Linked DNA regions of Mus musculus. The protein of the gene in region 1 binds, or shares a complex with, the protein of each later gene. Links are inferred from orthologs where the notes say so. Each region holds a gene or a part of one and is shown on either strand. Other genes may lie near its edges.

Region 1 (4,588 bases):
TGGCTCACAACCATCCGTAATGAGATCTGACACCCTCTTCTGGTGCACCTGAAGACAGCTACAGTGTACTTACATATAATAATAAATAAATCTTAAAAAAATAGTAGATAACATAATAATAGTAATGGTAATCGCTTGTCCTACAGCCTCTATGGGAGACACTATGTTAAGAAAATGACTATTTCAGTCATCCATGGTAGCATATGTCCATAATGCCGGTGCTGAGGAGGCTGGCAAGGAGGATCAGAAGCTCAAGGTGTGAGAGAGAGAGAGAGAGAGAGAGAGAGAGAGAGAGAGAGAGAGAGAGAGAGAGAGAGAGAGAAAGAGAAAGAGAGAAAGAGAGAGATCCTTGTGCTACTACGAATGACCTCCCTCTATATTACCCTTCTTCATCCAACCCTTCATGGACAGGAAAGGATTGATCCAGTGTTTGAAGCCAATGAGCTAGATGGGGTAGCAGGCCAGGACCTGGCCTATAAATGTCAGGGCTGAGTGCCAGTCCACCTCTCCATTCTTCTCTGGCTTCAAGACTCCTTCCTCATGACTCAGGCAGGCCTGTTGTCTTCTCTCCAGACCCCAACCAGCAGCAGATGTGACCTTTAATCCCATCCCAACTTCAGTTTGAGCCCAGAGGCAGTGCTGGAGAGAGGAGGGAGAACTGTGGGCTGGCTAACAGCACACATCTGGAGCCTTTCAAGCTAAGCCTCTGGTGGTTTCTGCCTTTAGTGTTCCCGGAGTTTGCTCTGTTGCATATATAGGAGCACGTAAACACACACAAACACACACGCACGCACACATGCACGCATGCATAAGCACGCACACACAAATACATACTTGCAATGTACTCAAAATAAGCCACCCACCCCTCCCCAACCTTTTTTAGTTTGGCCCCCACAAAGCTCCAGGTCAACTTCCAGCAGTCTCTACCACAGCCCTCAGCCCATAGCCTCCAGTCTCTCAGACAACAGCTAATAGTTTCAAAACCTTTTATTGAATTTGCTCAGCACTGTGCACATGTGCGAAGAAGCCAGAGTAAGGCACTATGCTCACAGCCAACAGGGAAGATCCCCCACTGGCAAACTACACCCCAACACTTCATCTGAGGAGTCTTCACTTCTTCCGGGGCTCCTTATCTGGGCAGCCCTCAAAGAATTCATTGCACATCATGGCAATGCAGGACAGGAAGACACAGTACTCCTGGAAGTCAACTTCATTGTCCCTGTTGCTGTCCAAGTTGCTCATCACCTTCTGGAATGCAGCTTCATCTGTCCTTTTCTGGCAGTAGAAGAGGAGCAATTAGAAGCCAACTCAAACCAGATATTTGCCTCCAGTCAGGAGCTCAGGAAGGTTTGCAAGCACTCCTTGCTAGCCTCGGGGCTAAACTATGGGATGAACACATGGGATAGCTGGGAAAGGATGTGACCACATCTTCCCCGTGCTTGTTTTAATTATCTTAATAGGAAACTGTCATAATAGTGATCCGTTAACTAATATAAGGTGTTATTGAGAGGATAATCTGCAGGCATTTGTGTGCCTCCACGATCATGTCTTCACAAATAAAAACTCGATTTCTAGTGCCCATCTCCGGAAAGACAGCCCTGATCTAGGCTGTGGTTTCAGACACTGACTGCCTAATGTGGTTGTTTTGGTTTTCCTCTGCCTCTTCAGTTATCTTCATCCTAAGCCTGTCTCAGCTGGGGGCTAGTGTGAAGTAGGTGGTTCATTGTGGTTCCGTACCAAGCACCCAGAGCAGGGATATATGCCAGCTATAGCTAAGTACTGCATCAAGACTAGTGCCTACCAGCCCCAGCCTCCTCCTGCAGATGCATCACGTGTGCAATACACAGGCAGGACCCACTTACCCCCAGGAAGCTAGGCAGCTCCCTGGTCAGTAGCTCCTTGAGCTCTGTCTTGTTCAGCTTGAACTTGTCACCCTCTTTGCCTGAGTATTTGTGGAAGGTGGACACAATTACATCCAGGGCCTCCTCCAAGGGTCTTGCCATGGTAACCGTTGAGACCTAAGGGCAGGAGACACAAAAGTAACATTCTCCAACCCACGCCAACAGTGTGTTGAGAACTGGATATGTGTTGCTGAGCATGACCCAAATCACACTCATTCTGTCCCCATTTTAAGTGCTCTATCCCAGCCAACTCTCTAAGAGATGGACCTCACCCCCTGGGGAGATCAGAGGAATGGGACCCATTGATGGCAAGAAGGTCACATGTGCTCTGGGCTCTGAAACCTGCAAAGCCTACCCCTCAAACTCTGGAGATCCATGCCAGCACCTTTCTGTGCCTCTCAGTCCTGGCCTCAACAACAGCAGTTTTCCATCAGCTTACTCACTCCCACAGCTCAACCACAAGCACCAGGCCCTGGCCCATTCTTCTCCCTCCCAGCGTTGGGCGCGGCTGCTGGCTGCCTGCCCAGAGGCAGACAAAAAAAAGTGGAAAAACCCCAGCTGCCTAATAGGAGTAAGATGAAGTGGCAGAGGTAGGGATGCAAGAGGAGAGGGTGGGGAAGCCAGGCTTTCTTGGCCTAGGTGCTATATGTTCATAGGGCTATTAAAAATAAGACACACTACAAACACGAATGCCTGCAGGAGGGTGCTGGAGAGATAGCTCAGTGGGTAGAGGTGCTTGCCACCAAGCTCCAGGGCCTGAGTTTGATCCCCACAGCCCACATGCTAGAAGGAACAGATTGACTCCCACACAAATTGTCCTTTGGCTCCCACAATGTCGCCTTGGCATTTGCTCCAGCCCAACCCATACGCTCATACACACAAATAAAAACTGTAATTTAAATACTGTAAAACAAAAAGGCCTACTGATGCCTTCGCTTTGCTTCCTGTACCCGAGTGTCCACACACTGTCTTGTATTACCCAGCAACACGAGTCAGCATCCTATGCATGACAGTGACTCCCAAGCACCACCAATATACACTATAGCAACATGCAAGCCAGCCTCAGTATCTCAAAACCTCCGGGAGCTCAGATGTAGCCATTTATACACTTTTTTTTTTTTTTTTTTTTTTTTTGGTTTTCATTCTCGTGAAAAACACACACACACACACACATACATGAACCTCCACATCAGAATCTCTCATCTGGATTTATTAAAGACATCTGTTCCCCCAGCAGCCCCCCTTTCTTCTACCCTAGCCTCAGCCTCTAATGCCGCTAGCAGTGCTATCAGACCAACACAACTCACCAGACCAAGAGAGAGGAAGTGCTGAATAGAGAGGTTTGGGGAGAGCCCAACAATCTGACCTATTTATACCCTGCCAGGCCCTGCCCATGCAGAGGATGGGGGAACATGGATACTGTGCTCTTGCTGTTGGTTGATGTAGTAAATGTCATAGCACCCTCGACCAGCCCAGTCTGGGAACCAGGCTTCCTGCTCCCTCCCCAGCAGGCACAATCAAGTAGTGAGTGAGCTCCAGTGGGCACGGCAGAGACTTGGATGGGGTGGACACCACCAAGCAGCCACAGCTCAGCCAGAAGTTTAGGAAGCTTTGAGAACGGGCAACCTGGACATGAGGTGTGGGCCACAGGAAAGGAGATGGAGATGTTATGGGCAAGGGATAAGGAGCTGCCCTGGAAATATGTGGCCCAGGAACGAAGGAGGTGACCCCAGCCAGTGGGACAATGTCAGCACTTCCCTCCAGCCTAAACAGCTTCTTGTCACAATCAGGAAGACCCAGGATAGAGGCTAGCAAGTCAGGAGGGACCTTGGGACCACCCCAGGTATGAAGTAGGAGCTATACCTAGGAGGCCATGATGGAGTTAGGGTGGCAGTGTGGCCTGGAGGTTTTCGAATGGATGGAAGCTGGAGTAAGGATATTGAGGAATGACAGGAGCATTCGGGGTTGAATGTTCAGCTTGAAGAAGAGAGTTAAAGAGGAAATAGGTAAAAGGGGGAGTCAGGATTAATCTCTAAGGATAGGGTACAAATTCGGGGATTGAGTGAAGGTTAGATGGAGGTTTGGCTTTGGGCTCCCACAACCATACTCTCCTTGCAGCATCTGGTCAGAAGTACCTCCCAAGGAGCCCCTTGTCCTCCTTGAAAGTCCAAGATAAGGACTTCTATCTCAAGACAGGGGACAGAGAGAGACAGAGACCCTCCAGTCTCATCTGATAGGACACGTGTTACCCCTACCCTCCTGAAATGTGTGCATTTCTACAGGGCCTGACACCGCTTTGGGGGTCCATGCCTTCCATGGTAAGCCTCCTACCTCCAGTAGTAAGGAGCATAAAGGAACAAGGACTCGGTCCCAAGGCCCAGTGTGTCCCATCAGAAAAAAACAAAAGTAAGCCAAGAAGACATTTCTTTATTGGGAGTTGAGGAGGCCCCTGCCACAGCGGTCCCAGTTGTGTGCACATGGCTGAGCAGAGATGTTCTTCCCTTCCAAGAAGAGAAGCGGCAAAGGCTGGCTACTGTCCCACCCCTCACAAGCTAGACATCCCTAGGAAAGCCTCGAAAGCTCATGGGTAGCTGGGTGGGGTTAGCACATCAAGAACTTGGCAAGTCTAGATTGAAAGGGGTACCACAGAGAGAGTGGGAAGGGTGTGGCTACACACCCAGGACCAC
Region 2 (4,167 bases), on another chromosome or scaffold:
CTATGAGTTTACATCACTAAGATCTGTTAAACTCAGCAGAAACCGCTCTATCATGGTAGTGGCAAGTGGAGGAAGAGAGGGGCTGTACATGTGGGGGCAGGGCACGGATGAGAAATCTCGACTTTCTTTTCAATTCTGCTGTAAATCTAAAGTTGCTATTTAAAAAGAAATGTACACAGGGAACTGAAATGGCTCAGCAGATTTGCAACCAAGCCTGAGGGCTAAGCTCAATCTCTGGGACCCACAAATAGCAGAAGAGGACTCAGGCAAAATGCCCTCTGACCTCCACATGTGCAGCACAGCACATAATCCTTAGGCAACCCCCCACCCCCAACAGGTAAACGTAAAAAAAAAAAATTAAAGAGAAAAAAATGACTTTTAATATATGCCTATAGCCACAAAATAGGGAAGGAGCAGGGGACAGGAGACCATAGAGGGGAAGTGGGAAAGGAAATGGGTGAAAGGGGAAGGGAGGGAGGACTACAGAGAATGGGGAGGGAGGACTACAGAGAATGGGGAGGGAAGGAAGGACTACAGGAAATGAGGAGAGGGAGGACTACAGAGAATGGGCTGTAGATGGCTTTTGTGAAGATTAAACACTCTGGAACACACTGTCTGTGGATCAGAAGTGTCTTGCTCTTGGCTCTGACACAGAAGAAGAGAGCACGCTCATGGCTCAGCACCAAAAATGAGACGAGAGGGAAGCCACTGCACGTGCGACACTGGCTAGGAGCAGAGCCTCACCTGGCCAAGGCAGCCTGCAACTCCTCCTCCTTCTTGGCCAGCTGCATCTTGAGCTCTGCTATCTGCGCCTGGAGCTCAGCAATCTGGTCACTGAGGTCTGTGGAGTCTCCCTCCAGCTTGCGACGGGTCTTCTCCAACTCCTGCCTCTGCTTCTCCTCCCTACGGAGGCGCTCTGCCAGGAAGGGCAGGAAGGGACACGGAGGGAGCCTTAATTACTTGTATGAAACCAAACACTATGTACTTGTAGGACACATGGACTGTTTAAAGGGACACCATGCACACGCCCACTTCCAATTCTGAGATGAAACAGAACCCCAGAAGCTACCAAGGCCTGCGCGTCCCCATGGCAACACAGCACCTGGAGTTTGTGGTTCCTTCCTTCTTCCCTTCACTGCTGTCAAAAGTCCTACAGCTTCTAAAATGGCTGTGCCCAACACATGCCATATCAAAGCTTCATGCTTATCACCCCTCACACAGGCAACCGTCCGGCCATGCAGCAGTGAGCCTGCAGCCCTGACTCCCGGAGAACCAGATAGCGCCCCTGAAGCCTGACAGCCTTGCCTTAAGGCAATGGCCTAGCCCTAGGCTGAGCCTGGCTCGCCTATGAGTGCACAGGGCTCAGTGCTCTGCGTGGACAGGATGCTCACGGCCAGAGCGTCTCACCTTCCAGGTCGGTGATCATTGCCTCGTGCTTGTTCTTGAGCTTGGCCAGGCTCTTGGACTTCTCCTCCTCTTCCATGAGGTTGGTAGTGAATTCAGCTACTCTGTCTTCCAGCAGTTTCTTCTCCTGGAGGTGGAGGAAGAATGTCAGAGTTCAGTGCTGGCTAGGTACATACTTTAGCTCTTCCAAAGGAAGACTCAACCAGAAATGTATGGATCAAGGGTAAGGCAGGGCCTTAAAGAGTTGGCCAAGTTCATAGACACAACAAATGTGGGTATCCAAGACTTCCTGGGGTCAAGTAGGAAAGACTTCTAGGTGTCAACTAGTTTAGGGAAAGGACAAGCAGCCCCACCCCTGGCCCTACTAAGAGGCTGCCATCTGGAGTTTCCTCAATCCTAAAAGCTGGTAAAGACCTTTGCCAAGGAAAAACGGCAAGCCCCTGCCGCAACCTCCTCATTCATGAGAAAAGTCCTCTGCACATGGTGCTGGTGCCCAGGGGCCTGTGTGCCCGGGAGGACTGTGCTGCTGGACAGAGCCACGGCACCGCGGGGGATCGGGCAGGTAGGCAGGTCTTGGCCCTGCTCTGCCCACCCTCTCCATGACTGCATGCACAGCAGGCCCCACCTTGGCCAGTTTGCAGTTCTGGTCCTCCATGATGATCTGGTCCTCCTCCAGTTTCTTCAGCTTGGCCTCGGTGGTCACCTTCTCAAGCTGCAGCTTCTGCCGGGCGCTCTCCTCCTCCTCCAACTGCTCCTCAAGTTCCTAAAGGGAGAGGAGACGTGAGAAGGACGGAGGACACACACACACACACACACACACACACACACACACACACACGTCTGATCCCTCTTCAGGAAACCAGCATGTGAACTGGGGCACATGACTGACATAGTCTCAACAGTGTTCCCAGGGTGCCACAAAGAGGCCTGTGCCAAGGCTGATGGAGGAAGGACCAGAGAGAGAAACTCAGTGGCCTCAACGTTCAATGGGTAGCGCTCACGGAGATGTGAGCCGTGGACACTGAGTGATTGTCGCAAACAGGTGGACAAAGAAGGCTGATGTGGTAACTGAACCTGTGTGCCTATCTTGTGCCCCTGGCTGCCCACACTGTGCCCGCCCTGCCCGGCAGGAGCAGGGGTACCTGGATGTTCTGCTGCATCTTCTTCTTCTCGGCCTGCAGGTACTGGCAGCGCTCCTCCTCCTCCTCCACCCTGGCCTCCAGGTCATGGCAGATCTCCTCCAGCTCCTGCTTCTTCGCTGTCAGACGGGCCCGGAGCTCCTCAGCCTCGGCACACAGCTCTGTCTCCGCCTGCAGCTGCTCCTGAAGCTGCAGCTTCTCTGCCATGAGCTGCAAAGAACACGTGCAAAGGCTAAGTTCCCTGCGGCCTCCTTGTAGTCCAGATAAGAAATGTCCCCCGAGGCTGGCACGAAAGGCTTGTTTGCCAGTGGCTGGCACTGTTAGCTGCTGAGAGCTGTAGAGCAGAGGCCACTGGCACACATCATTGCAGGGAATATTGGAGTCCTGGCCCCTTCTTTCCCTCTGCTTCCTTAGCACAAAGAAGTGAGCCGCTCTGCTCCGCCACTCTCTGTCGTGGCACTCGGCCTCAGCAGGGGCCTGACCACAGGCTGAGTCTCTTCAGCCCTTTTAAGTGACTTATCTTAGGCACACTGTCACAGCAACAGAGCTGGTGTGTACCCCTCAAGTAGCTCCAGGGTGGGTGCTTATGGCTCAGGCTCCCGGCTGACAACTGCTCTCCCACTGGACTTGACTGCAAAGGTTTTCTAAGCAGTAAGCTAGCCGGCCTGACGGTGACCAGCAGGGGGCAGCACTGAGCGCAGCTGGGATTGATGGGTGGAGACTGACACCTACCTGAGACTGCATCGTCTCCATCTCTGTCAGCCTGTTCTCTGCAGCCAGATGTTTCTCTCGAACCTTTGTCAGTTCCGCCTCCTTGGCTAACAGCTCATCCTCATGTCTTATTGAGTTCAACAGGGGCTTGACCTGGGAGAGGAGACACAGGCAGAGTTGGCCCACCCCTAGAAGCTCCCTCACCTCTGGAATGCAAGCTCTAGAGACGACCTGCTACCTGGGGAGGGGGTACAAGCAGGTACAGCCTTCCTAGAAGTCAGTCTGGTACAACATGCAACAGGCCTCTGATTCGCTTAATTACGCTGCACGGAAACCACGTCTACGCGTGCATAAAGATGCCCGTGACAGCGCTGTTTATAGGCCCAAGACTTAGGGGTGAGCCATCTAGCCCCTAGGGAACAGTTCCTAAAAACTGACGCTGATAGGAATTCTAAATACAAAGTGCAAGATACAAGACTATGTACACAAGTCGAAGCTTGGCTATGTAAGAGTGCGTACAGTTTACATAGCTGAGACTCACTGCGAGTGAGAAATGCAGAGAGATCATGGCATTGGTTCAGAGTGAAGGGCCCGTGATTTAGTTTTAGGGTCTTTCTAATGCTTTTTTGGTATTTAACATATGTTATATATTATAAACTAAAATTGACAGAACAAGTTGCAAAGGAATTTTTTTGAGACAGGATCTCTATGTAGCTGTCCTTATTCACTATGTAGACAGAGATCTGCCTGCCTGCCTCTGCCTCCTGAGGGCTGAGATTAAGGCATGTGCCACCACACGCAGCTTGCAAAGGGTACTTTTAAAGACTGGGGGTATTGAGTGGATGTTCTGAGCAGCTGGCTGCCATGGGGCACCACAAGAGGACAATGTGTAGGTAAGGCAAGCCCCTACCTA
Region 3 (4,167 bases), on another chromosome or scaffold:
TGGCTTGAAAGCAAAGGCAACGGCATTCTTGTTTCTAAAGTAAAAACGGTTTATTCACGACACAGTACATAAGAGGAAGTGTCTCATGTCACAGACGCTACGCCCCACTCCCTGGAATGTTCACTTCTTTGGCATAAAGGAGAGAATGAGGAGAAAGCCAGGCAAGGGCAGCTAAGATGGGGAAAGGGTCGGCAGCCCTGTCATCATCCTCACAGGGAGGAGCTCAGGGGTCCATTAGTGGAGAGCGAAGTCTCTAGAACGCCAGGTTGGGGCACAGGTAGAGCCACTTCTGGGTGATCCACTGTGCTGAGCCCTTCAGTCATCCCCACCACACAGGTACAGCAGTGCCTTCTGGTAGTCACCCTTGGTGTCTTGCTGCAGTGGCCAGAAAGAAAGAAAAGTAGTGTCAGAAGAAAAAAAAAATAGATTGTACAGCAACCCGCCATAGCCTTGGTGTGCCCTGGGGACTTGCAGGCCTGCACAGTGGACCAAAGCCCTGGCCCTCTGAAGCGCAGTGGGAAATGGTACGTCACCCTGTCAGGACTGCGAGGGAGGGCGGAGAATGTCTCCCACACTGCAGGTCCTGCAGGGCCTTCTGCAGCAGGCCCGAGTTTCTCCTGCACCTGCGCCCTTCTGCACAGGACAGGGTAGAACCTTGGCTGCCTCCCTTTGAAGTTTTGTGGACTTTAAGGATGCATGAAAATAACTAGTGACGTGGAGAAATAATTTCTAACAGCTTAGCTGTCCCTGGCTTTAATCGTGTGCCCTAAGAAGCATGGCTGCACTGACCCCCCAAAACACACACACACACACACACACACACACACACACACACACAATTGTCCTTGGTGACCATAGACCAAGATAGATATAGAAATGTCAGGATCTTTTAGAAAGGGGATTGCAGCCAAGCCTGGTAATGCACACCTATAAGCTTAGCTAACTAGGAGGATGAGGCAGGAGAATCACAAGTTCAAGGCCAGCTCAGACATCTTAGTGAGAACCCTTCTCAAAGAGAAGAAGGAGGGGTTGGGAGAAAGTTTAATCTGCAAAACGCTTTCCACACAAGCATGGGGACCTGAGTTCAATTCCCCACTTTAAGAAGCCAGGGCTGGTGATGTGCAATGTCACCCGCACTGAGAAGCAGAGACAGGAGGATCTCTGGGGTTCACCACCCAGCCAGCCTCATTCAGTCACTGAGTCCCGACTCTCAGTCAGAAATCCTGTCTCAGCAAACAAGGTGGACAGTTCCTGAGGAATGACTCCAGAGGTTGACCGCTGGCCTGCACACACACATGCACACCCACACCCAGACAATACACATACTACCACCACCCAAAAAAGTTTAAAAAGCTGTGGTTGCTAGCTCAGTGGTAGAGGGCTTACTTAGCATATGCAAGGCCTAGGCTCCATCCCCAGAGTAACACTCCTGGCAGCTGAGCACAGTGTTAACACCAGGAAGGCTCCAGCATTCCAAAATGCAGACACTAAGTTCACAGAAGAGGTGGGTTGGCAAGAGACAAATTGTCAGGCCTCTCTGAGGATCTTCAGGAAGCAGGAGCATTATAGAATACAAAACGCCTTTGGCCTTCAGAGTCCCTCTGATTGTCACCAGGTCATGCAGGATCGTCACTATAAACACCTATGACCACTGTAGAGTGACACTTGTGGGAAATGTATAAACCTGCTTTGAACCTATGAGCCTACGAAAATCATATAGGCTACTTTCAATATAAATCCCTGATTCTTGGTGCCCAGAGTCTATTCTCTACGAAATGAGAAAACAGGAAGGTCACCACTCTGCCATTGTTCTCTACAGCCACCTGCACACACACACACACACACATGCACACACACACACACACACACACACACACATGCACATACACATATACACACCCACATAGTCATACACACATGCATGCACACATGCAATGCAGATGCACATGCATGCACACACACATGTACACACACATATACACACCCACATAGTTATACACACACACACCATGCCTGGCAGAGCCAGGTCCATGCCACAGGCTTTACCTGGATGTAGTAGTACAGGGACTTGCCATATTTCCTCTTGAATTCAGATCTGATTTTCAGCATGTCCACTTCACTGCGAGAGACCATGATTCTAATCAGGACCTTGTCTCGAGTCCCCTTGCCCTGAAAGTCAAAGTGATGATCAGAGTTAAGTTCCTTGACAAGGTTATCATTAAAAAAAGCACCCACCACAGTTTTTTCTGGCTCGTGTGTGTGTGTGTGTGTGTGTGTGTGTGTGTGTGTGTGTCTAGGGAAGCCCTCTGGAGTCCAGAAAAGAGTGTCAGATCCCCTAAAGCTGGCATTCCAGATGGTTGCTTGCTGTCCAGCCTGGAACTGGGAGCCAAACCAGGATTTCGACAACAGCAGCCAGCTTGTTTAATGCCTGCACTCATGTGGGTCGTGATCTTACAAGACTTAAAAATGCAGTGCTGAGACTGTTTCCTTAATGAAGATGAGCACCTTAGATTTCCAAGCACATCTGAATGTTTCAAGATTTATTTAAAAATTTCTAAGTATGTGTCTGGGGGAGCCCATAGGTGTACATGTAGGTGCACACGGAGGCCAGAAGAGGGCATCAGATCTCCTGTAGCTGAAGTTTCAGGAGCCTATGAATGATTCAAACTAGATGCTGAGAAGCCAAGGGGGCCTCTGCAGGAGCAGTGTGTGCTCTTAACTGCTGAGCCGCCTCTCCAGTCAGCTCTGCTTCTGACCGCCAGCCTGCAAGTTTGCATATGCAGCAAAGGGCTGGTGGACACTTAGGGGTGCAGAGAGGATGGGTCGGCACGCTGTTCTTATGGCTCTTTGTGAATGCATGAAATAGCCTGCACTAAGGAAACTATCTGTAACAGGGAGCCCAAGGAGAGCAGGCAGAGGGTCAGCATGGACACGGGGGGCGGAGGGGGGGTGCTCCAGAGAAGAAATCAGGGTCCTGGAAAGCAGACCAGTCCTGGCAGGACGAGAACCAGAACAAGGCTCGTCCGGGGCAGCTCATGCAGGAAGATCACCCAGCTGTGCATCTGCAAAGCTGGCCTTGGCTCCAGGCGCTCTGCCTGCCTTCTTTATCAAGAAGATAAAAATGGACGCCCTGCAGGGTTTCCTGCCAGGACTTAAGGGAGGGAACTGAAAAGCTGTTGTGTAGTGCCTGCTGATGGTCACTCACATCCTGTTTGCTTTTATCCTGGGACTAATGGGACACCATAGCTGAAAGCCCCAGCAGAAATCAGACACCGTTGTCACCTTACCCTTTCCCTCCAGTGACACCTTATTCTGGAGCTGCATCGCATGTATTTAAACAACTGAGAGAAGATGGAATGGTGCTTTCTCACCTGCCAAATACAATCTCAGCTAGCTAGTGGGAACCCATCCTCTAAACTAGTGCTTACCAACCTGTGGGTCTCAACCCCTTAGGGGTTGCATACCAGGTATCCTGCGTTTCAGATATTTACATTGCAATTCATAACTATAGCAAAAGTCCAGTTCTGAAGTAGCAACCAAATAACCTATGGTTAGGGGCCACCACAACATGAGGAACTGTATTAAAGGGTTGCTGCAACTGGAAGACTGAGAACCACTGCCCTAAACACTAGTCACAGAGATTCAGTTTGAGCCAAAACAGAGGTGGAGCTTAGTGGAAATGGAGCCTCTGGGCCAGCAGTCCTTACCTTCATGGAGTCGTACAGCCGGTCAGCGAAGTACAGGGGCTTGTTCTGGATGCACTGGACTGTGGGAAGGAGACAGAGGTCAGGGCTGCCCGCCTGGCCCTAAGACACTGACCAGAATGGGCCCGTCCATGGACAAAGGCTGTAGAAGGCTAAGGGGAACTCAGAATCTTGTGAACTAGCAGGCTCTACCCACTGCGGTACCTTCAACCACGAGGTGCAGAGGTCACTGACGACCGGGTGTCTATGTAAGCTTGCCCAGTATAGCCCTCCCTTCTCCACCCAACTTAGCCCTTCCTGGCAATTTAAGCCCATTTCATATCTTTAAATCTACAGTCAATCCTAAAACTCTCCAAGACATGCAGAAAAGCCACCACACCTCTCAAGTCCCCTTGAAGCAAGCACACAGCCATTCCTTCCTCCTGTTTCTGTCCTCCCTGCCAGGGAGGAAGGGCCATACTTG

The links.
Region 2: the proteins of S100a4 (region 1) and Myh9 are in contact, whole or in part, in an NMR structure (PDB 2LNK), measured with the Homo sapiens proteins. The link is inferred for Mus musculus from reciprocal best matches to the Homo sapiens genes S100A4 and MYH9. Residues at the interface, in NP_002952.1 of Homo sapiens: Leu38, Ser44, Phe45, Leu46, Gly47, Lys48, Arg49, Thr50, Asp51, Ala54, Phe55, Lys57, Leu58, Asn61, Leu62, Ser64, Gln73, Glu74, Cys76, Val77, Phe78, Ser80, Cys81, Ile82, Met84, Met85, Cys86, Glu88, Phe89, Phe90; in NP_002464.1 of Homo sapiens: Thr1906, Ala1909, Met1910, Glu1913, Val1914, Ser1915, Leu1917, Lys1918, Lys1920, Leu1921, Arg1922, Asp1925, Leu1926, Pro1927, Phe1928, Val1929, Val1930, Pro1931, Arg1932, Met1934, Ala1935.
Region 3: the proteins of S100a4 (region 1) and Anxa2 are in contact, whole or in part, in a crystal structure (PDB 5LPU), measured with the Homo sapiens proteins. The link is inferred for Mus musculus from reciprocal best matches to the Homo sapiens genes S100A4 and ANXA2. Residues at the interface, in NP_002952.1 of Homo sapiens: Lys35, Leu38, Pro43, Ser44, Phe45, Leu46, Gly47, Lys48, Arg49, Thr50, Asp51, Ala54, Phe55, Lys57, Leu58, Asn61, Leu62, Gln73, Phe78, Cys81, Ile82, Met84, Met85, Glu88, Phe89, Phe93; in NP_001002857.1 of Homo sapiens: Leu13, Glu14, Pro21, Ser22, Ala23, Tyr24, Ser26, Val27, Lys28, Tyr30, Thr31, Asn32, Phe33, Glu36, Arg37, Leu40, Thr44, Gln69, Asp70, Phe73, Arg77, Arg78.

The regions. Positions count from the first base shown.
Region 1 is NC_000069.6:90,602,427-90,607,014, reverse strand, and holds S100a4 (protein S100-A4), read right to left. Parts: upstream 3,246-4,588; 5' UTR 3,209-3,245; intron 2,385-3,208; exon of another isoform or gene 2,257-2,384; intron 2,019-2,256; 5' UTR 2,004-2,018; coding exon 1,863-2,003; intron 1,276-1,862; coding exon 1,111-1,275; 3' UTR 970-1,110; downstream 1-969. UniProt on the Homo sapiens protein: Calcium-binding protein that plays a role in various cellular processes including motility, angiogenesis, cell differentiation, apoptosis, and autophagy.
Region 2 is NC_000081.6:77,772,528-77,776,694, forward strand, and holds part of Myh9 (myosin-9), read right to left. Parts: intron 3,408-4,167; coding exon 3,276-3,407; intron 2,754-3,275; coding exon 2,547-2,753; intron 2,168-2,546; coding exon 2,030-2,167; intron 1,532-2,029; coding exon 1,408-1,531; intron 917-1,407; coding exon 745-916; intron 1-744. UniProt on the Homo sapiens protein: Cellular myosin that appears to play a role in cytokinesis, cell shape, and specialized functions such as secretion and capping. Required for cortical actin clearance prior to oocyte exocytosis. Promotes cell motility in conjunction with S100A4.
Region 3 is NC_000075.6:69,487,654-69,491,820, reverse strand, and holds the end of Anxa2 (annexin A2), read right to left. Parts: intron 3,767-4,167; coding exon 3,708-3,766; intron 2,170-3,707; coding exon 2,047-2,169; intron 376-2,046; coding exon 316-375; 3' UTR 36-315; downstream 1-35. UniProt on the Homo sapiens protein: Calcium-regulated membrane-binding protein whose affinity for calcium is greatly enhanced by anionic phospholipids. It binds two calcium ions with high affinity. May be involved in heat-stress response.